Arabidopsis thaliana: one gene and its partners. The protein of the gene in region 4 interacts with the protein of the main gene of each other region in a pairwise test. Each region holds a gene or a part of one and is shown on either strand. Other genes may lie near its edges.

Evidence for each region.
Region 1: the proteins of AT2G28315 (region 4) and AT4G37220 interact in a protein complementation assay, tested with the Arabidopsis thaliana proteins (one large-scale study listed by BioGRID).
Region 2: the proteins of AT2G28315 (region 4) and AT1G15150 interact in a protein complementation assay, tested with the Arabidopsis thaliana proteins (one large-scale study listed by BioGRID).
Region 3: the proteins of AT2G28315 (region 4) and PERK15 interact in a protein complementation assay, tested with the Arabidopsis thaliana proteins (one large-scale study listed by BioGRID).

The regions. Positions count from the first base shown.
Region 1 is NC_003075.7:17,512,298-17,518,835, forward strand, and holds AT4G37220 (Cold acclimation protein WCOR413 family), read left to right. Parts: upstream 1-2,744; 5' UTR 2,745-2,808; coding exon 2,809-2,984; intron 2,985-3,073; coding exon 3,074-3,181; intron 3,182-3,262; coding exon 3,263-3,333; intron 3,334-3,418; coding exon 3,419-3,672; 3' UTR 3,673-3,865; downstream 3,866-6,538. Other genes in the region: AT4G37210 (Tetratricopeptide repeat (TPR)-like superfamily protein), read left to right, coding at 79-407, 635-852, 946-1,158, 1,246-1,336, 1,422-1,695, 1,771-2,124; AT4G37230 (Photosystem II manganese-stabilising protein (PsbO) family), read left to right, coding at 4,127-4,331, 5,064-5,290; AT4G37235 (Uncharacterized protein family (UPF0497)), read left to right, coding at 5,755-5,891, 5,972-6,104.
Region 2 is NC_003070.9:5,209,976-5,218,181, reverse strand, and holds AT1G15150 (MATE efflux family protein), read right to left. Parts: upstream 5,708-8,206; 5' UTR 5,509-5,707; coding exon 5,251-5,508; exon of another isoform or gene 5,136-5,250; coding exon 4,591-5,135; intron 4,508-4,590; coding exon 4,421-4,507; intron 4,342-4,420; coding exon 4,285-4,341; intron 4,194-4,284; coding exon 3,955-4,193; intron 3,826-3,954; coding exon 3,620-3,825; intron 3,531-3,619; coding exon 3,459-3,530; 3' UTR 3,140-3,458; downstream 1-3,139. Other genes in the region: AT1G15165 (RING/FYVE/PHD zinc finger superfamily protein), read left to right, coding at 1-65, 202-463; AT1G15160 (MATE efflux family protein), read right to left, coding at 637-708, 807-1,012, 1,146-1,384, 1,488-1,544, 1,624-1,710, 1,790-2,334, 2,450-2,707; AT1G15140 (FAD/NAD(P)-binding oxidoreductase), read left to right, coding at 6,045-6,592, 7,111-7,210, 7,373-7,468, 7,553-7,633, 7,717-7,779.
Region 3 is NC_003070.9:19,467,201-19,475,293, forward strand, and holds PERK15 (Protein kinase superfamily protein), read right to left. Parts: upstream 5,383-8,093; 5' UTR 5,163-5,382; coding exon 4,826-5,162; intron 4,749-4,825; coding exon 4,398-4,748; intron 4,313-4,397; coding exon 4,226-4,312; intron 4,144-4,225; coding exon 4,073-4,143; intron 3,996-4,072; coding exon 3,919-3,995; intron 3,830-3,918; coding exon 3,679-3,829; coding exon of another isoform or gene 3,614-3,678; coding exon 3,452-3,613; intron 3,345-3,451; coding exon 3,051-3,344; 3' UTR 2,620-3,050; downstream 1-2,619. Other genes in the region: RABG3d (RAB GTPase homolog G3D), read right to left, coding at 950-1,016, 1,123-1,268, 1,347-1,427, 1,529-1,675, 1,887-1,986, 2,080-2,106, 2,197-2,249; AT1G52300 (Zinc-binding ribosomal protein family protein), read right to left, coding at 8,013-8,059.
Region 4 is NC_003071.7:12,084,958-12,092,535, reverse strand, and holds AT2G28315 (Nucleotide/sugar transporter family protein), read right to left. Parts: upstream 3,870-7,578; 5' UTR 3,641-3,869; coding exon 3,520-3,640; intron 3,404-3,519; coding exon 3,219-3,403; intron 3,139-3,218; coding exon 3,071-3,138; intron 2,983-3,070; coding exon 2,850-2,982; intron 2,767-2,849; coding exon 2,605-2,766; intron 2,411-2,604; coding exon 2,141-2,410; coding exon of another isoform or gene 2,132-2,140; exon of another isoform or gene 2,056-2,131; coding exon 1,966-2,055; 3' UTR 1,771-1,965; downstream 1-1,770. Other genes in the region: AT2G28310 (trimethylguanosine synthase (DUF707)), read right to left, coding at 4,648-4,851, 4,941-4,994, 5,085-5,151, 5,246-5,302, 5,393-5,506, 5,584-5,685, 5,767-5,882, 5,976-6,059 and 4 more. UniProt on the Arabidopsis thaliana protein: Nucleotide-sugar transporter that transports UDP-xylose and UMP in a strict counter-exchange mode.

The DNA of each region.
Region 1 (6,538 bases), on a different chromosome or scaffold from region 4:
CGATTCCACTCTTCTCAACAAATTTGACGTTTTTGTTCTTCGAAATTCAAATTCACCCAGAAAAAATCTCAATCCGCGATGGTTGAAGAATCAGCTTCTGCGTCGGAAGCTTCGGTGATACAAACCCTAACCGAGCCGGCGACGGAGATTGCGCAAACCCTAGAACCTAACCTAGCCTCAATCGAAGCCACCGTCGAATCGGTTGTTCAGGGAGGCACTGAATCGACTTGTAACAACGACGCTAATAACAACAACGCCGCTGACAGTGCTGCTACTGAGGTTTGTGATGAGGAGCGTGAGAAGACGCTTGAGTTCGCTGAGGAATTGACGGAGAAAGGCTCTGTGTTTTTGAAAGAGAACGATTTCGCTGAAGCCGTCGATTGCTTCAGCCGTGCTCTCGAAATCAGGTATCTTTTTGGGAGATTCATTTGAGAATTTGTAGTCGAGAACCTCTCAATCAAGGGTTTAGGGTTTCAGATGTTTCTGAATCTAGTTTATGCTCGAATGATCTAATCATGGTTCTGAATTTTTAGTTGAGTTTCAATTGTGTGTTCTCTCGACTGAATTCTTTAGTATCTGGTCCTTTTATCAAAGGATCTAATGAAAACATTGCTTGTTTTAATGGTATGGTTAGGGTTGCACATTATGGTGAACTTGATGCTGAGTGTATAAACGCATACTATCGATATGGATTAGCTCTCCTGGCAAAGGCTCAAGCTGAAGCTGATCCACTTGGGAACATGCCTAAGAAAGAAGGTGAAGTTCAGCAAGAGTCCAGCAATGGTGAATCGCTGGCTCCTTCTGTTGTTTCAGGTGACCCAGAGAGACAAGGGAGTTCAAGTGGGCAAGAAGGTATGGATTATTGGGAATTGTCTTAGGTTAAGCTTATGGGTATAGATGCTTCTGCTTCTTTGTTTGCTGACTTCTTTTCTCCCTCATGTATAGGTTCTGGTGGTAAAGACCAAGGAGAGGATGGTGAAGATTGTCAAGATGATGACCTATCTGATGCTGATGGTGATGCTGATGAAGATGAGTCTGATTTGGATATGGCCTGGAAAATGCTGGACATTGCTAGGGTTATTACTGACAAACAGTCTACTGAGACAATGGAAAAAGTGGATATACTCTGTTCGCTTGCTGAAGTGTCCTTGGAAAGAGGTATTTTTTCTTCCTTTCACCTTTGCATTGTCTTATTTTCTCATGTCAGCTATTGGTTGGTTTTGAGTTCTGTTGTTTACTATGCAGAGGACATTGAGTCTTCCCTGTCTGACTACAAGAATGCATTATCCATCTTAGAGAGACTGGTTGAGCCCGACAGTCGACGCACAGCTGAATTGTATCCTTGTGGTTTCTTAAATTGTACCTGATTTTCGTTTCTGTCAATTCAGTTGTTGGATTATATCTTAACTTGAACGTTTCAGAAACTTCCGCATCTGCATTTGTCTTGAGACTGGATGTCAGCCTAAGGAAGCAATACCATATTGTCAAAAAGCTTTGTTAATATGCAAAGCTCGGATGGAGAGGCTCAGTAATGAAATCAAAGGTGCATCTGGTTCAGCAACTTCCTCAACCGTCTCTGAAATAGATGAAGGCATCCAACAATCATCCAATGTTCCTTACATTGATAAATCTGCTTCAGACAAAGAAGTTGAGATCGGAGACTTAGCTGGTCTCGCTGAAGATCTAGAAAAGAAGGCAAGTAAACTAAACCTATCAGTTCATTAAAATATCTCTAAACCCATACTAATGTCCAACATTTTTTTTCTGCAGCTTGAGGATTTAAAACAACAAGCAGAGAACCCAAAGCAGGTTCTTGCTGAGCTAATGGGCATGGTATCAGCTAAGCCAAATGCCAGTGACAAGGTTGTTCCTGCTGCTGCTGAAATGAGCTCTTCTAGGATGGGAACTGTGAACACCAATTTCGGGAAAGATTTAGAGTCGCCTACAGTCTCAACCGCTCATACCGGTGCAGCAGGAGGAGGAGCAGCATCAGGTGTTACTCACTTGGGTGTTGTTGGAAGAGGAGTGAAGAGAGTTTTGATGAATACAACCTCGATTGAATCAAGTGCATCAAAGAAACCAGCTCTAGAGTTTTCAGACAAAGCAGATGGCAACTCCTCTTGAAACCGGAAAAAGGTATAAAAATTCCTGTTACTAGTGAAGTATCTAACCTAAGAAAACTGAGAAAAACATTTGGTATCTTCCTCATGAATCTTCCAAGACTAGATTTTCAGGTTCATGTTTTGTAATGGAGTCCGTACTTGCTACTTTTTTAAATCGCTGAGATATTTTTTACTTTTTATTCTTGTTTAATCAGTCTTATTTTTTCAAAGTGTTTTTTAGTTTAGGCACAAAAGCAGAATCTTATTATCACATTATCAGTTGATAATCATCTGATGAGAAATAGTTCTTTGGAGATCTTTTAGGGAATTTTATAAGTAATAATTAAGGGATAATTGGATATCCTTTATTAAAAAATGTAGGCTACTTGTAGAATTAAAAACTGGAATCTTATAATATGATTAGTATAATAAGATTACGCTATATCTGGATTCTGGAGATATCATAGATAAGCTCTGTCTATGAAAACGAGACCCTTGGGGAAGCCACGTGTCAAATCTATCTCTGTCACCAGCGAAGCCTACGTGGCGAGCAGCTCCTAGAATATCCAAATTCACAACAGTATTTTTTTTTCTTTCGTTCTGATTCAACAGTTGTCACAAACAGCCAAGGTGTTTTGTGATTGGTTATAAATACTCTGCTATGTGAGAGAGTTTACTACATTCACAAACAAACTAAAACTTAAAAATGGGAAGGGGTGAGTTTTTGGCCATGAAGACTGAGGAGAACGCGGCTAACCTGATCAATTCCGATATGAATGAGTTCGTCGCCGCTGCAAAGAAGCTCGTGAAAGACGTAGGGATGCTCGGCGGGGTAGGTTTTGGCACGTCAGTCCTCCAATGGGCCGCTTCAATCTTCGCTATGTGAGCCAAAAGACAAAACCATATAACCTCTCTGGTTTTTGTTTGAATCATATATTGATATGATGGTTCTTATTGTTTTGCTTTGACAGTTATCTGTTGATATTGGATCGTACCAACTGGAAAACCAAAATGTTGACCACCCTTTTAGTACCATACATCTTTTTCACACTTCCTTCGGTTATCTTCCAGTTCTTTAGGTAATCAAGAAAAACTGTTCTTTAACATGATGTTATGGAGTTCTTTTGAAAATATAATCCATATTCGATATAATTTCACAGCGGAGACTTTGGGAAATGGATTGCTCTCATCGCGATCATAGTCAGGCTTTTCTTCCCTAAAGAATTTCCAGGTCAGAACCAGCAGTTTTCATGACTTAACATTAGTTTGAAACTTTGATCTTGAAAATCTTCTTTCTTTTTTGCATATAAATGTAGAGTGGCTAGAGATTCCGGTAGCATTGATTCTTATTGTGGTGGTGTCGCCGAGCCTTATAGCTTGGACACTAAGAGAAAGCTGGGTTGGAGCAGTCATATGTCTAGTAATAGCATGTTACCTTTTCCATGAACACATTAAAGCTTCAGGTGGATTCAAAAACTCTTTTACTCAAAAGAATGGAATCTCCAATACCATTGGGATCGTTGCCCTCCTCGTTTACCCGGTTTGGACCATCTTCTTTCACATCTTTTAAGTCAATCCGACCCATTGGTTTGTAGACACATTCAACATTTTGTGTCTTCAATTCGTTTTCAAGGTTTGAATTTTATAAGGAGCATTTGTGTTTGAGAAAGTCTTGAATATAAAAAAGAAGTTTCAATCGTGCACTGCTGACTTGTAAGATTGTTTTTTTTTTCTTGTAAATGTGTGACTTGTAAGATATATAAATAAATTTGCATATTGGTTGATTTGTTGAATCAATCTTGAATATTGTAGACTTTTTAATTGATCATGACTAATAGTTGTTTTTTGAAAATTGTTTTTCATTTCATTAACACCAAACAATAAAGCAACACAAATTTCTATCACCTCCTAGCATTGAACTACGTGCCGTTGTTCGTATCCAAAAGTGTATATTCTTGTAATCATTCACCGTCAAAGCTCAAGTAGTTAGTAGCACCACACCAGATTTCCAAAGCACAAAGCTCATGACTAGCCTTACCTACACACTCGATGAAATCGAAGGCCCTTTCGAAGTTGATTACGCAGCAGTGACAGTACACAACTTCCTGGTGGGGAGCGTGTACCGTTCTTGTTCACGATCAAGCAGCTCGTGGCATCGCAGAGGATACTTTGGTCCCAAGTCGATCCCTTCAGCATTCACCCAAGGCCACGTTGGAAATAAATCTGATCGTAAAACACAACATCTGCAGATTATTATCAATAAAAATTCAGAAATCAATAAAATTCACTCTGAAAACGCAGAAAATCTAAGGTAAATTCATAACGACCTTTTGAATTTCTAGTGTCGAAGCTGTATTGAAGAAGAAGAAGAAGATTCCGAAGCTAACAAAGGAGAAGACGAGAGTGGATTGATTGCTCCTCTCTCCTCTCTGATGATATTCGTGCTTCTACACTCACAGAGATACACTGTTTATTATTGTTTTCAATATATGAGAGGAGGAGCTTCCCTACTATTTTTAGTTTTTTAGCCAATGAGAGAGCTCCACTTCATACCCCACTTTTACCAATCGTGCGATTTCACAGCCACTCTCACCCATGTCGCGTTGAGCGCGTGTCTACGATTTCTAAAGGGGTTATTAATCCACAAAATTTATGCCTTTTTGAATCCACGCACCTCGTTCTTAAAAACCCATCGCGTGTCTTATTTGTTTTGGTTTTCTTCTCTAAACCAAATTAAACCGAACCGAGATCAATTTGAATTTCGAAACCAATGTAAACCCATCGCTGTGAAAACAAAAAGCTCGGCCACAAAAATGGAGACGACACAACTTGGAAGAGAAATCAACTCGAAATAGCCAAGAGAATGTTCGTAAACCCCCTCAAATCCGATGCTTCCTTTGATTCCAACCTCCAAAAGCCCATCTGCTCAAATCCGAGGAGTATTACAAGGTACCTCTATAGAATATCAAGGCTATGACAATGCGGTTGCATTACCTGCTAGAGGAAACAATGAGGAGCTAGCTAAGGAGAACAACAAGATCACACTTAGTGTAACAAAGAGTAATCCCGAGAGCGGTGAAGTGATTGGTGCTTTCGAGAGTATTCAACCTTCAGACACTGATTTGGGTGCTACGACTCCTAAGGATGTCAAGATTCAAGGAATCTGGTATTGCCAACTTGATGAATAAAACATAGAGAATCTGTTTGTTTTCTTTTTCTGTAAATGTTGTTATGATTAAGGAATATTGATTCCAGTTCATAGTACATGTGGTACTCCATTTGGTAACACTTTGCACTTTTGGCTTTAATCAGATACTAATTATTGTGATTAAAAGACTAATTATTGCGGATTAAGATAACATATTTGTAGATCTGTATAATTGCTTGTAACAGCAAAGATGATTTCTGGTTAAGAAGTAAGAAGAGATTTATAATTAAGCAAACCATTTGCCTTATGACCCCATTGTTGTCACATCCACTTTGTCTTTTCACCTTCCCTGTCTCAAAAAACAGAGGACCCTTGCTCTGTTTCTTAACCCTGTTTTATCTCCTACTCAAAGTTCAAATCTTTTGCGAAACCCAGTAATGGAAGATCAAAGCAGGTGAAAATGAGGAGAACTAGAGACGTTAACAAGGGCTCTTGTTCAAGGAGATGGTAAGAACAACGGCGTCGTTTGGAACCAGCTCAAGCTTTGTTCTTCGTCTCGGACAAACTCTGTTTTCCTCTGCTTCGCTTCTTTTCATGTGCTTTAACGATGACGAAGATTTCTACGCTTACACCACCTTCTGGTAATAAATCAAATCATTCATTTAAAAATTAGAAACCAAGTGTCGAAACAAGAGACTTAACTATGAATGTTATGGAACAGTTATCTAGTCACAGTCATGGGTTTAGTGACACCTTGGAGCGTGACGTTAGCCCTAATGGAAGCTTACTCAATCCTCGTAAAAAAACTTCCTATGCAAGCAACAGTTATATCTGTCATCGTCGCTGGAGATTTTGTAAGTCATCTTTGTGTTTAAAACCTTCATAGCTATATTCATCTAATTTATTTTGTGTTCGTGTCAAACATTGAACCAATTGTTAAGAAAAGGTGTTACCAAATGAACTGATTGTGACTAGTTATAGACATTGACATAGTGGGTATAGATTAGAATTTGATTGGTTGATATCAAAATACAATCCAATAACAATTCAAACTGTAATACATTCCACAACTTTATACTGTTAGGTTTTCTACAATATCCTTTCCCACTATAATATCTCTAGTGGACCATATCCTATAAGAAAGATAAATGGATGGATATCCAAATCACATTAGCCATTAAAGGATAAAGCTTTTAGGCTATGCACCAACTTAGTTATCTAATAATGCTATCCAATGTAATGAATGGTTCCGGTGTTATCAATTTCGGGTCAACCAATCTTTATTATG
Region 2 (8,206 bases), on a different chromosome or scaffold from region 4:
GAAAGTGTGGAAGAAGACAAGGGGAAGGATTCCATTGTGGCTTACATCTTGCATCTCATGAAAAAGTACTCCAAGCTATTCAGAAGTGAAATTGTGGATGACAAATGACTCTGGTTAAGGTTGTAATGAACATCGTGTTCATGCGTTTGGGCGCCAACTATCGAAGTTTGGTTCTATCAACTATAAGCTTATGAACAGTAGGAAATCAGGACAGATTTTCATTCCACCAGAAGAACAGATATCTTTGCAGCTTATGCGTGATCCTGTCATTGTTGCTTCTGGACAGACTTATGAACGGGTCTGTGTCGAGAAATGGTTCTGTGATGGAAAACTCTTGCCCCAATACTCAGAAGCAGCTCCCACATCTTTCCCTGACTCGCAACTACTGTGTTACAAGTCTGATTGCGAGTTGGTATCAGCAGAATGGGATCACTGCATCATTTTCTGTCCAAAGTATTTCTGAATAAGTAGGATGAAACTTCATCGAAACAACGATTGCTGAGGGATGTATCATATGGTATTATTACAAAAAAGACCGATTATTCACGGCAAACGCTAGTCTAGCAGTAACATACAACGATTTGGCTGCTACCAAAATGGTGTAACCTGAGGAACAACATATGTGCCCCCGTTATCTTAAAAGGGAAGTTCTGACTCTGTAAGTTCTGATTCATGGGCCACAGCCATTCGCTTCCTCGCTTCACGAGCCTAGAGTTCAAATATGCATCCAACTGAACATCAATATGTTTATTTCACAATAGAAACATGTCATGAAGAAGAAAGAACAAAAGAAAAGGGAAAAAGACCTGGTTTTCCCAGTTTATGCAGCCTGTGACAAGAGCCAGCAGAAGAGTTTGCAGAACGGCACCGGCTATTATTCCAATCCAAAGGCCAACACCTTTCAGATGAACCCAGAAGGCTAAAGATGCAGCAATGGGTATCCCCCAGAGATAGAAAGCTCCAAAGTTTATGTAAGCCCCTATATGCTGCCACCCGCATCCGCTTGCAACACCTGCAAACCAACAAATGAGGGTTAGGAATGGCAGAAAAGAGTTCACCTTTAGTTATCTTTGACTAAAAAGTGCATAACATAATATTCGACACTAGTATATGTTTGAGAAAAGAAATAGGAACAGTTCTCGAACCTGAGAGAACCCCTTGTAAACTGTCCAGTATGAGAGAAATAGAGACCAGTGGAGCCATCTTTGCAACATAGTCGATGGTATTCTTGTCACTGCTGAAAACTTGGCCCAACAGATTCTTACCAGCTAATAGAGACGTACCCACCATCAATGCATCCACTACTGCAAGAGACATTGCCGCGTAGACCACAATATGTGCTGCTCGAGAGTTTCCAGCACCTAATTCATTTGAGATTCTTGTGCTGCACAAGAAACATCCCCTTATGAACATGAAACCATATGATTCCTTGCCATGAACAGCAAGTATGCTTGACCATTTATGAACAGCATAATGGTGGCTCTAACCTTGCTGCAGCTGCAATCGCTAGTGGTATCGAATAAGTCATCGAAAGTGTTTGGAGACTATTCATAGTATAAATAACATTATGTTTTGGCAAATTCATGATTGTGACGAGAGTTAGTAAGATGCAAGGAGGAGTACCAGACAGAGAGCACAGAAGTCTCCAGTTGTGGGTTGGGTAAGAGACCAGATAGTAATATTATGAGTTCATAAGACCACCACTCTAGGCTGCAACACATAAAAGAGTTTCTAACAAAAAATGTAGAGGCAATGAGAAGTGAAAAAGGAACAGAGAAAAGTGATGTACCAAAGCATAGCCGCAGAAGGAAGAGCATATTTGATAAACTCTCTAACGCCCTCGAATATCTCCATGGTAAGCGGTGCACGTGTCTCAGAACAAGCAGAGGAGAAGTACATGAAAGATCCAAGAAAGATGGCATAGAGCCAGTATGACAAACTGAGAGCCAAGGCTCCTCCAATATGATCAAGCCCTGACTTATAAACCAAAAGCCAACAAAGAGGAACATGGAGACAGAACACAACACAAGAGGTGATAAGGAGAGGTGTTATCAAGCTCTGGTTTTTGAAGTAGCGAGTAAGCGGCTGTAGAACAGCGTAAGCAAACAGTCCTGGGATGAGCCAAGCAGCAAATCTTCCGGCTTCGTGTGCAATTGAAGGGTCTTGGCCAAGGATCACGAGAAGCTTTCCCATGTTGAACCATAGGAGAGAGAGAGGGAGACACACTAATGTAAGACAGAACATAGCTGTGTAAGCCTGAACACCTAGTTTCCGATATAGCTTAGCTCCATAGGCTTGACCGCTGAGAGTATCTAAGGCACATGACAATCCCATCTAGCATCAAAAAGTAACAGTAAAGTGATGAGAGGATACAATTTCCATGGTTCTGGTAGCTAGTAAGAGAGATAAGTGCGTCAATTTTAGTGGAAAAAAGGAAAAGGAAACAAACAATGAAGCTGAAGCCAGTGACGTTACAGAAGGAGATGGCGAAGGAAGCGCTAGCGAGAGAGAGTCTGCCGAGGTGACCCACAATCACCATTGTTATGATCTGTAACATGGACTGAGTGATAACCACGGCAGCCATAGGAGCCGCAAAGCATATAAGCTTCTTGAGTTCTGCGGTGAAAGATCCGTCTTGCAGATCTCTCCATGTTACTTTCTCAACTCTGTCTACAGGATCTTTGGTGGTGCTCTCTGCGTCTTCCATGGCTAGAGAGACACTAAAGAGAGAGAGTTGAAATTTGAAACTGAAAGTGGTGTGAGTGAAGAACTACTGTCTGCTTTTTGTGCTTTAGTACGTGTTGTTCTTTAAGACTATGTACATTGCCACATTGGTGTTTTTATACAAAACCATATTTTTCATTTTTGTAACACATAATCGTCACTTTATTCCACCTATTAATTCAACATTTTAATATGCTCTCTGCGTTTTATTTTTGTGGCGTGATTACTGATGCTGACTCTTGGCTCTCTGCGTTTTCTTTTTTTAATATGCATTTTGCAAACTATATTGTCATCATCGTAAGAAAGTTTGAATACATAAAGCAACGTTGTTGGTGGTTATATTTTTCTAGTGATAGTAATATATGTGTGATCCTGTCATTATTACTTGTGGAGACACTTGTGAAGGTCTGTGTCGAGAAACATTTTCAGTGATTGAAAACTCTAGCTCCAAGACTCAGAAGCAGCTCCCACATCTATTTCCTGACTCGCAACTACTGTGTTACAGGTATAAGCGAGCTGGTATCAGCAGAATTGGATCACTACATCATTTTCTGTCCAAGGTATTTCTGAACTACCAGAATAATGCTTCATCGAAATAACGATTGCTGAGGGCTGCTAATATTACAAAAGAAAAGACCAATTATTCACGGCAACCACTAGTCCAGCAGTAACATATAACGATTTGGCTGCTACAAAAATGGTAAAATAGGAGGAACATCTGTGTCCCTGTAATCTTAGATGGGAAGTTCTGACTCTGTAAGTTCTGATTCATGGGCCACAGCCATTCGCTCCCTCGCTTCACGGGCCTAGAGTTCAAAATGCATCCAATTGAACATCGATATGTTTATTCCAAAATAGAAACATGTCATGAAAGACAAAAAGCAAAGGAAAGGACCTGGGTTTTCCAGTTTGTGCAGCCTGTGACAAGAGCCAGCAGAAGAGTCTGCAGAACTGCACCGGCTAGTATTCCAATCCAAAGGCCAACACCTTTCAGATGAACCCAGAAGGCTAAAGATGCTGCAATGGGTATCCCCCAGAGATAGAAAGCTCCGAAGTTTATGTAAGCCCCTATATGCTGCCACCCGCATCCGCTTGCAACACCTTCCAACCATCAAACGAGGGTTAGAAGAATGGCAGAAAAGAGTACAACATGAACAGGCATGACAACTTGGAGCTGTATATTCGACACTAGCTTATGTTTGAGAAACGAAATGGGAAAAAATCTCGAACCTGAGAGAACCCCTTGTAAACTGTCCAGTATGATAGAAATAGAGACCAACGGAGCCATCTTTGCAACATATTCGATGGTTTTCTTGTCACTGCTGAAAACATGGCCGAAAACATGCCTGCCGGCTAATAGAGACATACTCACCATCAATGCATCCATTACTGCAAGAGACATTGCCGCATAGACCACAATATGTGCTGCTCGAGAGTTTCCAGCTCCTAACTCATTTGAGATTCTTGTGCTGCACAATGTACTTGCTTATGAACATGAAACCATAACAGAAAGTATACTTCAGCATTTATGTACTGGATAGTGGTGACAAAAGCTCTAACCTTGCTGCAGCCGCGATCGCTAGTGGTATTGAATAAGTTATTGAAAGTGTTTCGAAACTGTCCGTAGTATGAATAACATTATGATTTTGCAAATTCAAGATTGTGACAGGAAATGGAAAGATGCAAGGATGAGTACCAGATAGAGAGCACAGAAGTCTCCAGCTGTGGGTTGGGTAACAGACCAGAAAGTAATATTATGAGTTCATATGACCACCACTCCAGGCTGCAACCCATATATAAAAGAGTTTCTAACAAAAAATGTGGAGGCAATGAGAAGTGAAAAAGGAACAGAGAAAAGTGATGTACCAAAGCATAGCCGCAGAAGGAAGAGCATATTTGATAAACTCTCTAACGCCCTCGAATATCTCCATGGTAAGCGGCGCGCGTGTCTCAGAACAGGCAGAGGAGTAGTACATGAAAGATCCAAGGAAAATGGCATAGAGCCAGTATGACAAGCTGAGAGCCAAGGCTCCTCCAATATGACCAAGCCCTGACTTATAAACCAAAAGCCAGCAGAGAGGAACGTGGATACAAAACACAACAGAAGAGGTGACGAGGAGAGGTGTGATCAAGCTCTGGTTTTTGAAGTAGCGAATGAGCGGCTGAAGAACGGCGTAAGCGAACAGTCCTGGGATGAGCCAAGCGGCATATCTACCAGCTTCGTGAGCAATAGCAGGGTCTTGGCCAAGGATCACAATAAGCTTTCCCATGTTGAACCATAGGAGAGAGAGAGGGAGACACACTAAAGTAAGACAGAACATAGCTGTGTAAGCCTGAACACCTAGTTTCCGATATAGCTTAGCTCCATAAGCTTGACCACTCAAAGTATCTAAGGCACATGACAATCCTATCTATCATCAAAAAGTAACAAGAAAGTGAGGAGAGGATGCAATTTCCATGGTTCTGGTAGCTAGTAACAGAGATAAGTGCGTCAATTTAGAGGAAAGAAGGAAAAGGAAAACAAACAATGAAGCTGAAGCCAGTGACGTTACAGAAGGAGACTGCGAAGGAAGCGCTAGCGAGGGAGAGTCTACCGAGGTGACCCACCATCACCATTGAGATTATCTGTATCATGAACTGAATGATAACCACGGCAGCCATAGGAGCCGCAAAGCAGATAAGCCTCTTGAGTTCTGCGGTGAAAGATCCGTCTTGCAGATCTCTCCATGTCACTTTCTCAATTCTGTCTACCGGATCATTGGTGGTTCTCTCCGCGTCTTGCATGGCTTGTGAGAGAGAGTTTGAAAGTTGAAACGGAAAGTGGTGAGTGATAATCGTGAAGTACTACTGTCTGCTTTTTGGTGCTTGGTTATGTGTAATTCCTTACCAAGGGAATCTATAGTGTAGTGCCACTTGGCAAAATTCCAAAACCATGAATGAAATATATACGTTAAATTTGGCTCAACGGTAGGGAGTGTTCATTGATAATGTACTCTTACGTTTTTTAATATGCATATTGCTTGTCACTTTTCTTCCACAATTCTGTCTTTTAATTACATGATTTGGTGTTTTTTCTTTGAAAGACGAGCTAGCAAAATTAAATGAAGAGGGAATGCAATTTTCGAAGTATCACAACAAGTGGTCGGAAAGTAGATAGAATGATATTTTGATCATCCACGTGGCAAAACATTGTAACGGAAGGAAATTAGGTGCATAGCAAAAAAAAATAACACAATCGTGCCACCGAACCAATCGGGCCGCCCTTTTCTACCGCCGGCTAAATTTGACGGTCACATATAGAGCCCCAAAAACTCTCCACCATGTCCACTCTTCCTTTCGCGCCTTCTGTCACCCATGCGCACTTTAGCCACTCCCTCTCCCCCATGTTTATCCTGCGCCATCTCCCTCTTACACGCCATCTCCGTTTATCCCGAAATAACCGCGTCGCTTCCGTTGTATCCGCCGCCGCCGTTCGCCAGGACGCTTCCCTCTGGACTCCAGCTCCTCTCTCTCTAATCGAATCAGCTGCAGAATCGCTTTTCCACATCTCAATCGACATTTCAAACGCTCCGGATCTCGTAGCTTCGTACACGAGACCCGGTCAGTATCTCCAGATCCGTGTTCCTGATGTTGAGAAGCCTTCTTTTATGGCAATCGCTTCTCCTCCTTCCTTGGCGTCTTCTCGTGGTGCTTTCGAATTCTTGGTCAAGAGCATCGCTGGTTCTACCGCGGAGATTCTCTGCGGGTTGAAGAAAGGAGAGACCGTTGAGCTTAGCTCTGTGATGGGTAATGGTTTCAATATCGATCTGATTGATCCTCCTGAGGAATATCCCACCGTTTTGATTTTCGCCACTGGATCTGGAATTAGGTGAGAGCTTTTTCCATTTTCTCTCCTACCTTGTTGGATTGCTGAAGTTGTCTTTTTTACTTCATGTATTCAATGATCCAAGTGTGGTCTAGTTTAAAGGTTTCAGTGCAGAGCATTAGCTAGATACAAAGCTTTCAAACTCAAGTATCTTGAATCTAGTTTAGTTACTCATTTTGCGGTGAATCCTCTGTGATGCCGGGTTCAATTGCTTTTTTGTGGACCTTTTTTGTGAACTCCAGTATGATTTCAATCTATCCAAAGGTGCCATGGACCAATTTTGTGGCTATTTTTTTACTGTGATGATGTTGTAATACTGAAATAGAGTTTCATGTATGAAAGGTCAATGTTTTTATGACTTTGGTGATCGATCAGATCTGTTGTTTATGCCAAGTAAAGGTGTTTCTTTCAATCATCTATTGTTCTAGGCCTGGTCAATCAAAAATGTTTAGTGATGGTGATGTGAATTAAGTAACTGTCTTCAATTTGGAATGTAATCTCACATGTTCTTATCTCTGCAGCCCCATCCGCTCACTAATCGAATCAGGATTTGGCGCTGATAGAAGATCTGACGTAAGACTCTATTACGGGGCTAGGAACCTGAATAGGATGGCTTACCAGGTTTGGTTCTTTCTCTCAGTTGTTTTGCAATTCATGATGTCAGTAGATATAAATGTGTGTGCTTGAATTATAAAAATCTTTTGATGATAAGCGTAAAGCCTATCTCTCGCTCTCATTTTGATCTACAGAAGAATCATCTTGGAAACGCTCTTGATTTTGTAGGAAAAGTTTAAAGAGTGGGAATCAGCGGGTGTCAAAGTTGTGCCGGTATTATCACAGCCAGATGATGGGTGGAAAGGGGAAACTGGATATGTGCAGGTGAGATTGAGAAACGTGCTCCTTAGTCAAGTCTGCTGTAACTCAATGTGGATCAAACTAATATATACATAATGTGTTGTATAGGCTGCTTTTGCAAGGGCTAAACAGCTATCAGCTCCCAAGGCCACGGGAGCGGTGCTGTGCGGACAGAAACAAATGGCTGAGGTATGCACTGTTTTTGTTTATGAGAACCTAAATGCTTTAGAAGATGTGTATCTTTATCATTGTTTCGATTTGTATTGTTGCAGGAGATAACTTCAATGCTTGTAGCTGATGGAGTCTCAAATGACAAGCTGCTCAAAAACTTTTGACAGATATAGTTCTTGTATTATCGTATAATTTTACTGTTTCTTCACATCATTATTCTTTTGATACGAAAGTCCTCTTCAAGGCCTCTCTAATTCATAAACACACAGAATTTTGTAGTCCCTTAAAAATTAATACTACTGTGTTGATTGTCACCACAACATTCTTTTTTGATTAGTGATCATGTTAATGTCCATGCTCTATATACTTTGCATATTTCTTCTACTTTCAATAGAAAATTTCTACATATACCAAGAAGATTTATACCAAAAAATATTGTGAATTAGACATGTTTCTAATTAGGAAAAGTTCCACAAAATAAATCACCATCGTTGCCACATTTAATTAACGCGGAAAAAAGCTTAAAAGCCATTGATCGACTGTATTAACCACTAAATTAGACTGCACGCCGTTTTCATAGAAGATCACAGG
Region 3 (8,093 bases), on a different chromosome or scaffold from region 4:
CACAATTAATATAGTAATTTTATTAGAGTCAATCAATTAAAGTCCAATAAGTAACGTTTCCTTTCAATGGTTATTACTTATTAAGGCTTACAAATTCACATATCAACTTTAATCCATTTGTTATAATAGTAACTTTTTAACATTAAAATACACATATTATCTTTAAGTTGTTTCTTCCATATACATACATACTACTAAATAAGTTTCTACACATTCAGAAAAAAAAAATTATACATCAAGATATATGAATTATTTATTATAAAAAACATCTATATTTTTAAAATTTACTACCTTTTTTTTAGATATATATTTTTATTTTGATATTTATGAGAAAATTGATATGTAAACATGCTATGTCATATTAATTTGGATTCTTGTCCATAAAAATCTAAACATTTCTCAATATATAATAAGCTACTTTTTTTTTATTGAAGAATATATAATAAGCTACAAATATAGTGTATGCTATGATTTTGGGGACACTTCCTAGTTTTCTTATGATTTGCTTACCGGTAGAGGAAATTGATTTTCTCAGTTGTGTTATCTATATTTGACAAAGTCAACTATTTTTATTTACACATTTAGTTTAAGAGTTAATAATATTTACACATTGCCCCAATCAGATACGCTTAACCCGTATTTATTATTTAACTTTTTTTGTATTGGTAAAAACGCTGAGAGACGATCGATCTTCAAATTCTCATCGCTTTCAGAGACAAGATCCCACAAAAACCGTCCAATGTATCCTTCAAATTCAAACCCCTTCTAGAATCGAAATTAAGTTGGATTTTGGTATCAGTATAGAGTCCAAAAGAAAAAGGAACCCAATTCATTACAATCTGTAACTCAAAATGAATCTGAAAATACATTTCTGGAAGTTATAAATATATTGTTACAAAATCAAAATGTGCCAAACAAAACAATGTATCTGCAACAAACTTTTGCTTGATTAGCATTCACACCCTGTTGATCTTTGTTGCTGACCTCCGGCAACATCAATGGTGTCGGGAAGGTACCTACGAGAGGTATCAGAGACGGTCAGAAGATAAGACTACGACGACTTGAAGTGATGCAAATTTGCCAAAAAAAAAAAAAAAAGCAGTAAGATATGTTTGTACTTACGGTTCTTCTTCAGGTTCATTCTTGAAAGCATTTTTGGTAATGCATTCGAAAGCCGCATCTACATTGAATCCTTCTTTGGCGGAAGTCTCAAAGTAAGGAATGTTTCCTTTAGATGCACACCATGCCTTTGCCTTTTTCTCAGAAACCTGACAAATATAGGATAACTTTAGCATAACCAAACTCTAGACACTTAAGTATTTCATGAAATGAAGATAACGTCTCACCACTCTGCTCTTTCCACCATCAACATCAGTCTTGTTCCCCAACACAACAAATGGAAAGTTTTCAGGATCTGAAGGACTAGCCTAAACAATGACACCACAAAGAAGCATTTGGTTTATAGCAATACAATTCTCAAACTACAAAGTTCTATAAGAAAGAAAAAAACAAAGAGGATTAGTGTTACCTGAATCAAGAACTCTTCCCTCCAGTTATTAAGATTATCAAAAGATTTCATAACATTGACATCATAGACAAGAACACAACAATCCGCTCCTCGGTAAAACGCAACTCCCAAACTTTGAAATCTTTCTTGTCCAGCAGTATCCCAAATCTATATAATGTACCAAGAGATTGTATTAGTAATAGTTCTATAAATCTCTATAGACAACCAAAAAAACACTGTATCTTCCTAAGAAGCACACAAATTTGAACCTCAACAAAGAAAGATTTTGACTTTTTCTGCATTATAAACCCAAAAAGGTAGGAACCTAAGATCCAATCACATTCTAAGAATCAAAATGTTTGATTGATTCAAAGAATACCTGTAAAGTGAAGATTCTGTCATCTATTTGAACCTCTTTAGTCAAAAAATCTGCTCCAATCGTAGCTTTATACTGATTACTAAACTTTCGATTCACAAACCTATCAAAATAGAATCAATCAAAATCAAATTTCATAAGGAATTTATCAATGTTCTAAGTAAGAGACACATAGATCTGGATTTCAGAAACATACTGATTCATCAACGAAGTCTTCCCAACACTGGCCATAAAAAAAGAATCAAAATCTCATCATTCAATGAACAAATAAAACCACATCAAATCTGAAATCTGAAGAGATGAGAGAATTTACCCGCTATCACCGAGAATGATAACCTTGAGAAGAACTCTCCGGCGAGAAGACATTGACGGAAACTTTTAGGGATTTAGCTGATTTGGTTTTTCTTTTCAGCGAAGAAACTGTCTCTGTTTTCTTCTTTCACAATCTCTCTCTTTTGGTTCTTCTTCTTCGTGTGATTTACAGAAAAAGTATATACTGTATTAGCTAAATAACAGCAAAGTTACTATTTTAAAATCTTTTATTTTCCCAAAATTGCCCCTCCTTTAATTAGTCATTAACTAATCTTATTATAAACAATTTAAAAAATTAATTAATTATACTTGAAGAAATCTTCAAACGGTCTAATTATGTTTACTTTATCAAATGTTTTGTTAATTACCATTGACTTATGTACTAACTATACTAATAATTACTCCTTCAACCAAAAATCAAACACCATGCTTATAAAAATATTATTTCTCTGAATCTAAAATCGGTTAATATATATATGGGATTTCATTTGCAAAAAAAAAAACAATTTCTTCAAAGTTGCATGGATAACAAAAGAAAACATGCTTTAAAAAAAGAATCAAAGATGTTAAAAATAACTTTCCACTCAAATAATATATCACGGCCAAAAAATAATTAAGAATCATAAAGTCTTTGATTGAATCTAATTTAATATCTTCACACCAAACTCAAAAAAATCTCCAACAAATAATATTCACGTGCAATATCAGGCTCATGACAGTTTCGATTAGAGCCACACATGGAAATAATTAAAAGTGAAAGCGCGTCTAATGAATAATGTGTTTTACACCTAAACCTACGGGTCCTACCCCAAAATGATAAGACTTAACTATTACCAAGAATCCTCTGTTTAAAGTTCATGTGTCCTTGGTATTCTTCTCCGGTTCGATCTCCTGCGTTGTACGTTGGCCTTCGGTGATACTAGACGAGCCTGATGGGTTCTGACCATTGTCGCTAGTCAAACCACTGCATTCGCTGCTACCAAATGTTTTGCTTTCGAACGCCATTTTCTTGAATTTCTTCAAGTCTTCTTTGTATTGTGTTGAGCTATAATCTGAGCTCCCGTCTAAGCTGTAAATAGTACTTTGTCCTGGGGCAGCTCCTTCTGTTAGGTCATCTATAGATATATTTCCTTCGAATGCTCGAACTATCTGCAATTGTCCAAAGAACAATGACACCATTGAACTCACAAAGTTTCATTTTTTATCCTAGTGTTAGATTGAATGTTGCCAAAAGGTTTTGATGTGATAGTTAGTACCTGGCTCATTTTTGGGCGACGTTTAGCTGAATGACGGACACTAGCAGCAGCGCAAGCAACCATTCTCGTCATTTCGTTGATATCAAAATCATTCTCTAACCGCGGGTCAACAAGACCGTCAAAGTTTCCATCGTTTAACGCTTGTATCATCAGAGGTTTTGCCTAGAGCATGAGGTAAAGTTTAAAAGCTTATTAAAAGTGGTGGTAAGGGAAACAAGATAACCAACCCAATCAACGATGCTATCATCATCAGCAAAAGGCTGTGATTTATCAACAGGACGGCGTCCGGTTATCAGTTCAAGAAGCACCACTCCAATTGAGAAGACATCTGATTTCTCAGTAAGTTTCCCTGAAGAAGCATATTCAGGAGCCAAGTAACTGCATCACAAGAAAGAAGTTTAAAAGATTGTTAGTATGTTATGAACTTATTATGGTTATGGTTGCGTATAGAAAAGAGTGTTTCGTACCCGAAGGTTCCCATAATCCGAGTGGAGACATGAGTATCAGTGTCTAAAGAAGACCTGGCAAGTCCAAAATCTGCTAACTGATGAACCAAGTTCAGCATTATTAGTAGTGCAGTCTAAACAACATTTTTATATAGTTTTACAAGTTCAAGAATACCTTCGCCTCATAGCTATCGTCAATTAGAATATTTGCAGCCTTGACATCGCGGTGTATTGTCTTAGGATTACCTGAAACAAAACAAAATCTCCTTGACAAAAACTTCAGAAACTAATGTTGTACAATACTCAAAGACAAGAACATTATACTCACAATCTTCATGTAAGTATGCCAATCCTTTAGCTGCACCCAAAGCAATCTTCATCCTCTTTGACCACTCCATTACCGGTCTCTCTTTCTCTACAAAACAACCACCATAATTCAAACAAAACTGCGGGAATTCACGCAAGCATAACTGAAAACAAGTCTTTTAAAAAAAACTCACCGTGTAAATGAAATTCGAGAGTCTTATTAGGCACAAACTCATAAACAAGCAATCTTTGAGCACCAGTGATACAATAACCAAGAAGAGAAACAAGATGCCTATGATGAACTCTACTAATAGTCTGTATCTCAGCTTGAAACTCTCGTTCACCTTGTCCACTTCCAGATTTAAGCTGCTTAATAGCAACCAAAGTTCCATCAACAAGAACTCCTCTATGAACATAACCAAACCCACCTTGTCCAAGAAGGTTAGTGTTGGAGAAGTTACTAGTTGCTTTAGACAAATCTTCATATGTAAACAAGTTTTGTCCAATCTCTGATGAACTCCATTGCTGAAGATTATTGCTATCATCTACAAAAACAGAGGAATTGAATAATCATTAAAAAAAGATTGAGTCTTTGGAAATAAAGAAACCCTAAATAAAGTACCTTTGGGATCTAGTGAGTCTCTGTTAATAGAAGCTTCGATATCTTCTTTCTTCTTCTTCTTTAACTTCCTCTTCTTTCTTTTATAGAAACAGACAAAGATACAAACTCCGAGTAGGACAAACGTAGCTCCGAGAACTACTCCAGTAATAAGTCCAGTTAATGCTACATTTCTCGAGCCTCCATCAATGTTTGTTGTTGTCTCCGGAAACGGAGCCAACGAAGAAGGTCCGATGATGGATGGCTGAGACGGAGCTGGTGACGTCGCCGTGTCTGGTGTGGTGGAAGGAAACTCCGGCGCCGGTGGAGATGAGAGGGAAGGGATAGTGTCGGTAGACATTAGATCAGAAGATGATGAGGATGATTTGGTTTTTCAGGCGTGTGTGCAGGTTTTTCTCATGGCGGAAGTGAAGACGAAGACGAAGACGAAGAAGACGAAGACGAAGGAGAATGAAGAAAGGGACATGCGGTGGGTCCCGTCCCACTTGAGAGATTTGTTCTTCTGGCAAGTGTCTCTTTAATTCTCTCGTCACTCTGTTTCTCAGTTAGTCAGTTAACACTTACCAACCATCAAAAGAAGAACTAATAAAGAGCCAAATTCATCTTATGTTTTTTATTTAAAAATATAATCATTAAGTCAACATTTTTAAAATAATAAAATTTACTAATGATTTTTAGAATCTTTAAGAAAAATTTACCATATAAGTCAACTTTTTTGCTTTTTTTTTTTAAAAAAAAAATTTTAAAATTTTTATACACAATTTTTTATATGATTTTGGATGACTCGATACAATATGTCAAATTAGAACTTATTTTATACGGACTAAACTAGCCTATATTTTCAAGTTTGACTAATTTTAGAGAAAAACTAGTCCAGCCAAAAAAAATTAGTCTAGTAAATATTCAATTCGATCGGATTTTTTTGCAAAAAATAAAAAAATAAAAAATCGATGGAATCAAATTCCGACTTTCTAATCCACAGTAAAATTGTTTCGGAAAAATCCGATTTCATGAAAATAATTTTTAGATCTAATTTTTATGGTGTTTTTATAACTAAAATTTTTTTAAAACTATAAATCAAATTTATTTTGTAAAATTAATATTATAATGTATATAGTAAAATTATCTAATCAAATTTATACTTACTACTGTATAAAAACAAGCACGACTACATAAGTATATTCACATTGTCTTGTCTGCCATTAATTTTTTTGTCTTTAAAAGTAAAAAAGAATCAAAGGGACCAACAAAAGATATGAAAAAACATACTAGTACTACTATTTACCGTGATCTTTGGTTTGTGGATTGTATCTCTCCCTAAGGTACCCATCAAGTTGAGAATTATTGAATTCTTTGAACAACTAATTCCACATCATTTTCCAAGTATTGTATCTTGGTATATGCATTCTCCTTCTATTTTTTGTTTGCTCAATAAATTGTACGCGGTGAAGCCAGCCAGATACCCGGTTTATTAACCAATCCTATGCTTCCGGAGTTTTTTTTATGTTAATCATTTACATAATAAAAAGAAAAACAATTAATGTGGTAGGGTACGGACGACAAGTAGGTAATCAATGGAAGCAATTATCAGGAACCATATATATTTGACAGAAGAAATATAATAACCGAAAACAATTACGTTTTCACAAGGAAAAACACAAAACGAAATCTCATCCAACAATGTTTTCAAGACAAAATCTGTGAATCAAGGATTACTAATAATGGAAATCCATTGCTTTGTTATGCATCAAAAAAATTTATATAGATTTGGCAATGCAATCTCAAGATCATTTTAATGATAAGGTTAATTGGGAAAAATAATCGTATTTGTCTTTGGTACGAATAGAAACCAAAACAACTTCGAATTAAACCATATCAAATTTCAAGTCACAGCTCAATAGTAAATTGCAAAACAGCAAACAACACGAACCATTTTGTGATAACCAAGAGTCAACAAAGAAATGCATTTTTTTTTTTCTTGGGTTTCACACAATGGTTGTTTTTGTTGGTTCTTTATAGGTTGAGTTATGCAAAATAATTTTTGTTACGTTCAAAACGAGGAAGAAAAAAAAAATTAGGTGTGGTGTGGTTCAAAGAATTGTCATCCAGTGTTAAAAAAACATTTTTTACATAAGTTTTTGTAGAATATTTGAGAAATTTCATTTTTAGAATATCCATTTTCAAAACTACTCTTACCTTTTATACATTATTCTACTTCGCTTGTTCAAAACTAATCACACCCTATTATTTAATCCGCTTATTCTACAATTCGCTTCGCTATCACTAGATCAAATGTATTTTAGGTTTTAAAGAAAATAAATGTTTTCGATGTTTTGTAACGATCACTTAGGTTCAACCAAATACATACCACATTTTTAATTGGTCACAAAGATACATATTATAGAACTCTTAGCATATTATCCTTGATTAAGCAAATTGCATGAAAAACATTGTTGGTGTCCATGGAAATTCATAAAATCAAAGCATTCATGCAGACTAAGACAGTAAGACCACAATCGCAATCCGTCAAGGTGACCCAATTATCATCGTGGACGAGGACACTGAAGTGTAGAAAAACCTAGATACGAGAAACCCATCTCTTCAAGTCTTCAACTCATAAGCTCATCTCCTTACCTTTTAAGATCAAAAGCCCATATTTTCAGTTCACAAGTCCATTTTCTTCGTTCATAAGCCCATCTCCACAATTTAAGTCTACGAGTCCGACTTCTCAGCTCTAACTTCAAGTTTATAATGATTTCAAAGATTTTCTGTTTGATATTATGTTAATCTTAGACATATAATTTCGACACTCGTCTCAAAATTTTGGCTGCAAGACATAGTATCATATTATACATATAGAAACACCATAATTCCTATGAGCAAATTTGCAAGCAACTCACCTTAATTATGAATGTTAGTGAACCTAAGAATACGTATTCGATATAAGTGGGCCGTAGAGTATAATGACTTTACCAAGTCTTTATCTGTCGGACGGACACACCACTGGCAAGGAACCATAATGATTAGAATAAAGAGAATTAAAAGACTTGCAAATTGAAATCCATCCATGTCCAAAACTTTAAAAACGCAAAGACCACACAAAAAGATAGTCATAATCAGACACTTAAGAGTAGTAATCTTGTGAACAACAAACTCAGAATTCTCTCTCCCTTGATGCTCAAAAACAAGTTTAAGCTGATGAAGCAACTCCCTTGTTCCTTGGCTTGGCTTCGGTACCTGGAAAACGTCCAACAATTAAATTATACAAAAG
Region 4 (7,578 bases):
CTTAAAAATTTTAACAATTGTCTCATGGATTCGTGGTATAGCGTTACTTAATAACAATTATAAACTGTAAAATATAAATATTTTATAAAATTAAAATTTACAAGTTTTAATATATATTACTTTCAAAAAATGAAGATGGAAAACTGGAGAAATAAATTTATTAGAGTGAATGATGATAAACTTTTTTTTTCCTGTTAATTGAAGATAAATCCTCACCACCTGTGGAGGAGTTCAAAACTAATCTCTGGGTAGATAAAGTTTTTTAAAAAATAGTTCACATGTAAATTTTTGTATAAATCACATATTTAATAGATTTAGCGTGGTACATTGATCATATACAACATTGAAGTATTAAAGTAACTATACTAGAGTAATATTAATTTTTGTACTCTTTTCTCGGAAGTGAGCTTGTTGTGTCTTATTTATCAATGGTTAATGTGCAAATTGCATCAGACTCTTATTAGTATTCTTATCAAATTTTCCAAATATCTATCTTCTCCAAAGTGGATAAAATAGTATCTTGCTTTTAATTTTAAAATACTGATATTAAGATATTATGCTTGAAAACATATGGTTTTAATGGGAAAGTGGCACAATTTTAGATTATATGTCACTCAGTGGCTCAAAAACAAACAAATGAAAAGTCATATAGCTCATCTGGGTGGTTTGTACCCATCAAACACTACTTTGTTATAAACGCTTTACAAGATATGTTATTGGGTAGAAAATCAAAATAAACATATCACAACAAGAGGTAAGACAAAACTCTTGGGAGCTTAATCACATTCACATACAGAAACTACTTATACTAAAATGCAAGCCATAGTTTTACTTTATTTTGCCAACTCCTAAATTAACTAATTCAATATGAGTGGAGACTTAAAAAAAAAAATGGCTAAAGAAAGTGAAACCAACCAACAAAGACAAGGCATAGTCTCTGAAAACACATGGAGACAAAATAGTAATCTTGAAAAATAAGCATTAGCGTTGATCGATTGAGAAATATGTAGAAACGTATCACAACATCGTTGGACAAAAGGCCAAAACTGTAGTAATTTGTAGGAATAAGTCATCATCATATAATTTGTTTAAAATGATTTTTAGTTGGATTGTTGGTTGTTGCAAACAAGTTGGCCTATTGATGAAGATTGAAGACCATTTCTCATTTATTATTATTATTTTTTTTTTTTTGTCATTCGTAACTTGCAAGTCTCACAACCACTAGTTTTTAATTAAAAAAATTATTCGCTTTTAAGGGAAAGTTTCATTGCCAATTCTCTTTGTAGGTCCATAAGACCATAACATAAAAATGTTATACATATACTATTCATGGAAAGATAAAACAACAACGACAACGTAGCATGTGAACAGAGGATGAATTCTCGTAAACGTTAGACGTAACGCACATGTAATATTTAACAATATACATATCTATATGTATATATGTTATAAATTGCATTTAAATTTTTTATATGGAAAGGAAAAATAAGAGCATAAAGCATTTCAATTATTAGAAATTTCTGGTTCCTGTTATCCTAAAAACCGATAATAATTATATGCATATGTCAAATCGCCCATCATTTTTCTTCCATAAACTCAAAAACTTCATAATTTATCACATTTTAATCACCGAAAAGTCCAAAACCGTTTTGAAACTAATTGTATTTTAAACACTATTTAGTACTATACTATTTTATTTTATCTTCTTAATAGAAAACAATCATTTGATCATTTGAAGAACACTAACATAAACCAAAGAACACGTACGAGAGAAAATAATTTTATAATCCTTGTAAGATCCAAAAAGGAGGAAATGAAATAGGAAATGTAAATATAAAAAAGAAGAGAAAATGCCCATTGGCTATTTCAATTTTTTCTCAATTACAAAAACATTATCAATGAATGAACAAAAAAAAGGGACACAATTATAGAGTCGAAACATAAAGAAAGAGTTATTGTACTATTTCATACTGGAGAATGCTTGTCTAATTTCTTGGCTTCATGATGGTTCTCATTTTCTTGTCCCAAAAGCGGCGTCGTATCTCTATCTTTCCCCTGTCAAAAAAGGAATAAAACCAAAGTACTTAGAAACTTTCAACACTCATTATTTCTATCTTTTCTTTTTGTGTGGTTAACGTACAAGAAAAGTGGAATCGGAGGAGGCTTGTTTGGATTTAGAAGCAACTGAGCAGAAGTAGGAGTAGAGAAGCATCCCGAGGACAGCGATGAGTATTCCTGCGATATTACGAGGAGTGAAGGGATCGTGAAGGAGAGTGTAACCAAATGCGAGCACCAAACACGTTTTGAGATGTCCCAAGACTTGGTATGTCACCGGAGATGTCTTTCCAATCACTAAAAACGTACTGAAGTTAACCGAAACCGCTATCAAACACGACAACGTTATGAACCCCTGCATGATTCATCATTGTCAAATTTCACAAAATTTTAGTATCTATCTAGGGACGTTATGATACAATCATGGCTCAACATGGGCACGGCTCTAAGGGGCCATGCGAAAATGGGCTGGACCGATCCAGGACAATGATTCTAATTCTATTTTAACACCAATTGGGAATAAATGGAATTAACGATGTAAAAAATTACCACGACGATGGGAGAGTAATGGAAGGAGAAAACATTGAGGCTAGTGAGGTATTTGTCGACAAAAGGACCCGAGACGAAGAGTATAGCAGCTTGGAACGGGGCTGATTGGTATAGGAGTTGTGTTGATGTCACGTTCAGTCTCTTCTGGATAGTGTTTGTTAGCTTCACCACAACATTTTCATAGTCATATTAATTATACTATGTATTAGTTATTAAACATTAGTTTAATGAAACTTAAAGCATACAATTTGGCCGACGCAAGTTGTGGCAATGGCAAGGAGAGATAGAACAGAGCCAACAAAATTGAGCTGAAGATCTGTGATTGATGCTATACCAACCCCAACTAGCAGCAAAAACAATGAGAATTTTATCTTCTGGCTGCAAAACCAAAATATGTCATTCAAAAAAAAGTTATTTATGTAAACAATAAAAATTAAAATAATCTTATGTATCAAGTTTGGTTCACCTGAACTTCTTGTTGAGGAAGAGGGTTTCTAAAAGAACAGTGAATGGTATGATAGCAAGTTTGGTCATCTGCCATTAGTTATGGACAAACATCAAATTGGTGAATCATATAATTGTTACATGATCAAAAGTATGTCGAAGATATATACTTGATAGAAGCCGATGGAATTAAAGCCGAGGCTGAGATTGAGGAGACCAATGGAAATGCCATTGAGGAGGCCAAAGAGAACAACAGTTCTCATGTCTATTGGTTTATTCTCAAAGAAGTTTAGTTTATATGCCACATGAAGTGTGCAATATGTTACCATCAAATGCCAACTAGTAAGTGTTGTTGCTGTAACAAAACCATAGCAAAAAAGCGATCAATCCTAAGACGAATAATCGGGTTTTTGATAAAGATCTTACAAAATATATTCTCACAAAGCAAAAAAAAAAAGTACTAGTAATTACCAAAAGGGAAACCAAGATTGGTCATCAAAGCTTTGTTGCAAATGACAATGGAGACAGAAGATGCAACTGATAGAAACAATGCTCCAATCACACCCATTTGCATACTCTTCATCTCTCCCATTTTTTCTTCCTCTCTCTCCTCTCAAATCTTCAAATCTATCAAATGAAGAGAGAGAAAGAGAGATATATATTGATGTGAGAAAAAGAGAAGGATTGTGAATGTGATGAGTGATGAAATGCAAAGGTGATATAATGAGATTTTTATTATTTGTTTGTATAAAAATGGTTGGTGTCTAACACCAAACTTCTGTTCTTCCTAATTTCATGTTTTAATAATTATGACATTTACATAATTACGCACAAGATACATGAGAAAAACTATAATGATGTTGCTTAATATTTGTTTTTCCTCATAAGAGACTTCTACTAATGATATGATAGCAAATTCTTAACCATAAAAAAGACTCTGAAATGAAACAGCCAATGGAGGGAGACATTGTATGGTTTTCTATGGACAAACAATTGACTTGAACTAAAAGCAAAAAGGAAGGTGAAACTGAATTTCTCATACTTTTTCTATTGGGCAAAATATTGTAAAATAGAAACTAAAATGAAAATTGAAATTATTTGGATTTGGTGTAAAGCTTCACACTCACTCCAAAGTCCATACCAATACCCTTCTCTTCTCCTTAATTTCTCTACCATTTACGTTACCTATTGAGAGCAAATATAAAATAGCCAATTTATGAAATTGGGTGAAATAGATAAATCATGAAACTGGTTATAAGTCTTGTTTTCTTATTGTCTTTTCAGAAGTCAAAAAGATTATGTAATAACAACCACTTCTATTACACCTTTGTTTTCTAAAGTTTTTTTTTTTTACATGTTTCACTTCTCTCTTGTTTAGTGAAAGCAATTTCTTTTTAAAAACATCTAAGAATTTGAAATGGAGAAAGTAACAAACAACATAATAAAGCTCAATCAAAATGTATAAATCTTACACAATATCAATAAAAAGGGCTTCACACATGTCCTATGAAAACCTAATTTAGTGTAAAATATTTGATATACAAAAGTAAAAGTTTTTTTAATATATTAATTATATAGAAAGAAAAAAGAAAAACAAATCTAATCTTTCACCATCTTCCCAAGATACTCTTTATCAGCATCAGCCAATCGGTTCTGAAACATTGTCCATTCCATTTTGCATCTATCTCTCACTCCTTGCCATGGAGCTTTCCCATTCTCTGACTTTCCTTGACTTCCAAGTGAAGGTATCACTTTATGTATTATCCATTGCGAATCCACAACACCAATCTTCTCATGAGCAGGCTGCAAAAGCAAAACACACAAATTTTCATCATCAGTCAAGAGAATATTGTGTTATTAAGGTAAGCAAGGGGGGGGCAAAAACAACTTACTTCAACGCATCTTCTAAGCGCAAAGTCGAGACCCCATCCATGAACCAGATCATTCTGCATCAGAAACATAAACAAACTGATCAAAACAACAAGCATTATTTTGATGGACTAAGACTAGGACTATGTATCTACAGATCGACGAACCTGAATCATATGCCACACACATCGCCATGCTTCTCGAGAAAATACAGGCGCCATTATTTCAACAAACCTGTGAGAGGGAATTTTTTTCAGAAAACTCAGTACTGACAATGACTAAACACTCTTGAGTTGCTCTAAAGAGAACGTTTCAAAGAGAGACTTACGCGGCACATGGAGGTAAATGTGGGTCTTTACACCATCCTGGTTTCTCTTTTGTATCTCTGTTCAACAGTAAGTAACAACACATTTCTTAATTCAGAACCAAATTTGAAAGAAAGGCAAAGAAGAATGGTTAGAGAAGGAGATCTTACTTATGGACTTCCCGGTCACCTCTCCTCTTTGTCATTTCCCATGTGAGTCCATTGTTAGGCTCTAAGCCTGGTTGAGAAATCTCTAAACCATGCTTCTTAACTAACTCAATGTACCTGAAGTTTTAATAGAATTCCATCACAAAATGTAAAATATAAGATTGTTCTGCTACTTCAGACAAGTAATAACTTACTTATCCGCATTGAAATGCTCCACTCCAAGATCTTCATCCCATATAAATATGTACTCATAAGCTGACACAACATCAGGATGCAAAAACCTCTTCGCGTACCACCTGCCAAAACCAGTAGAGAATTTCGATAAAAACATACTCGACAAACATACTTAATAACCGGTAAATGACCAGATGACTAACCATTTTGTTTGCTTTCTTGTACTAATATGAATCGCGCTCTTCGACCACTCAAATTGGTCCCATTCAGTTGTCCGGCCATCATAATGGAAGAGCAAAATTTGGAAATCTTCAGAAAACTGAAGATATGACAAGAAAACAAAAAATCTGAGTGTATCCACAAAGAATATATAAAACAATACTTGCTAAAACACATGCTGATATTGCAGAACCTTCTTAACAACTCCATTAATATGGTTCCTCTGCTCAAATCCAACTGTAAATGTCACAAGATATTTTGGCTTCTTCTTCAAATCCTGCAAAGGTTATTGTTTTGACATTAACTATTCTAATGGCCTTCAGAGATAAAACCATATATATTGAGAAAGTAAATATAGAATGAGAAGTCAATACTTCATTAGGTTCTCCCCATAATCTACGCAAGTAAAAATCAGTTTTCGCCACAACGATTCCTGGAGGTAGTAGTTCTGCACCACGCGGGTTAGTTGGAACATATATCTGCAATCAAACATACAGAAACGATACATTTCATCTGAAATGAGGCACTATTCTAGAACATAATCGAAAAGCTAACGAAAGGGAACCGAACAAGAAGTTTATTATATACCTCAGGAAACTTTCTTGAACCGAAATCTTCAGGGGATTTGTCACCAGATATGGCTACATCAAGAGATGATATAAGGCGCGAGGGTAAGTTAATCTGCAGGAATACGAAACAAAATTCAACAGGTGCAAAAATGAAAGGGACACATAAAAGGACCTATGAAAAACAAAACTCATACCTTAAACGAAAGTGAAGGTAATGTGATACCAATAAAAGTCCCAAACACTATCCCCAAAATAGTAGTAATAATAACCTTTGCATTTTCATTCGTTCTTCGAGGAGCACCACTGCAAAACTAACCACTAAGTAGTAATCTTCATATTGGAAAAAAAACTCTTTTTTTTGTATTACAATCTATCAGTTAAGGAAATTATACCTGCGGTGCATTGTTCCCATTTAGTTAGAAATATCTCCAAACACTCTAGTCAACAAAATTGAGTCACCCCAAATTGTAAAAATTCAATCTTTTTTCTGCAGTAGCTTCAAAACGCAAACATAATACTTCAGAGAAGATATATATCACAGTGATAACTAATTGTAATACTGATAGCTAAAACAAGGCTACATCGAAAATCAAATTCAGCATAAAAGAGATGAAATCGCAAATAAATCTTGAAAATAAAAATGAGATTACTTACAGGCCTTACAGGATTATTAGATCCGGAGACGCCGGTGAAGAAAGCTGAGAGATTAGAGCTCTCAGAGGAGATTCTCCGATCTGTGAGAGCAGAGAGTGATAAAGAGTGTGACAGAGAGAAAGAGAGAGAGATTTGGTGGAGAGGCCTATTTGCGTCGAATTTTTGGAGGTTTTTTAAATTCTTAAAAGGCCCAAACTTTTTTGATTAATTAATCAAAAGATAAGCTCTATTATTAGGACATTACATACATTTGTTCCTGTCTTTTTTTTATTACACAACTCATTTATTACATTCTTTTGGAGCCAACAAGATTTGAAAATTAAAACTGGTTTTTCTTGTTTCTAAATCTCGTAATCAGTCAAACTTAACTACTTTCATTTGTGACAACAAAGGAAATAGAATCATTAAGAAATATGTGTTGAATAAGAAGAATAAGATTACTGTAAAGGAAACATATGGGCTAAGTTTGGGACTGAGCCCATAGATGGTCCATGACTCCATGTTCTGATGTACATGCAGCAACTCCATGATTGGGCTTAGAATTATATTTTTTTGAAAAATTGTTACTTGGCT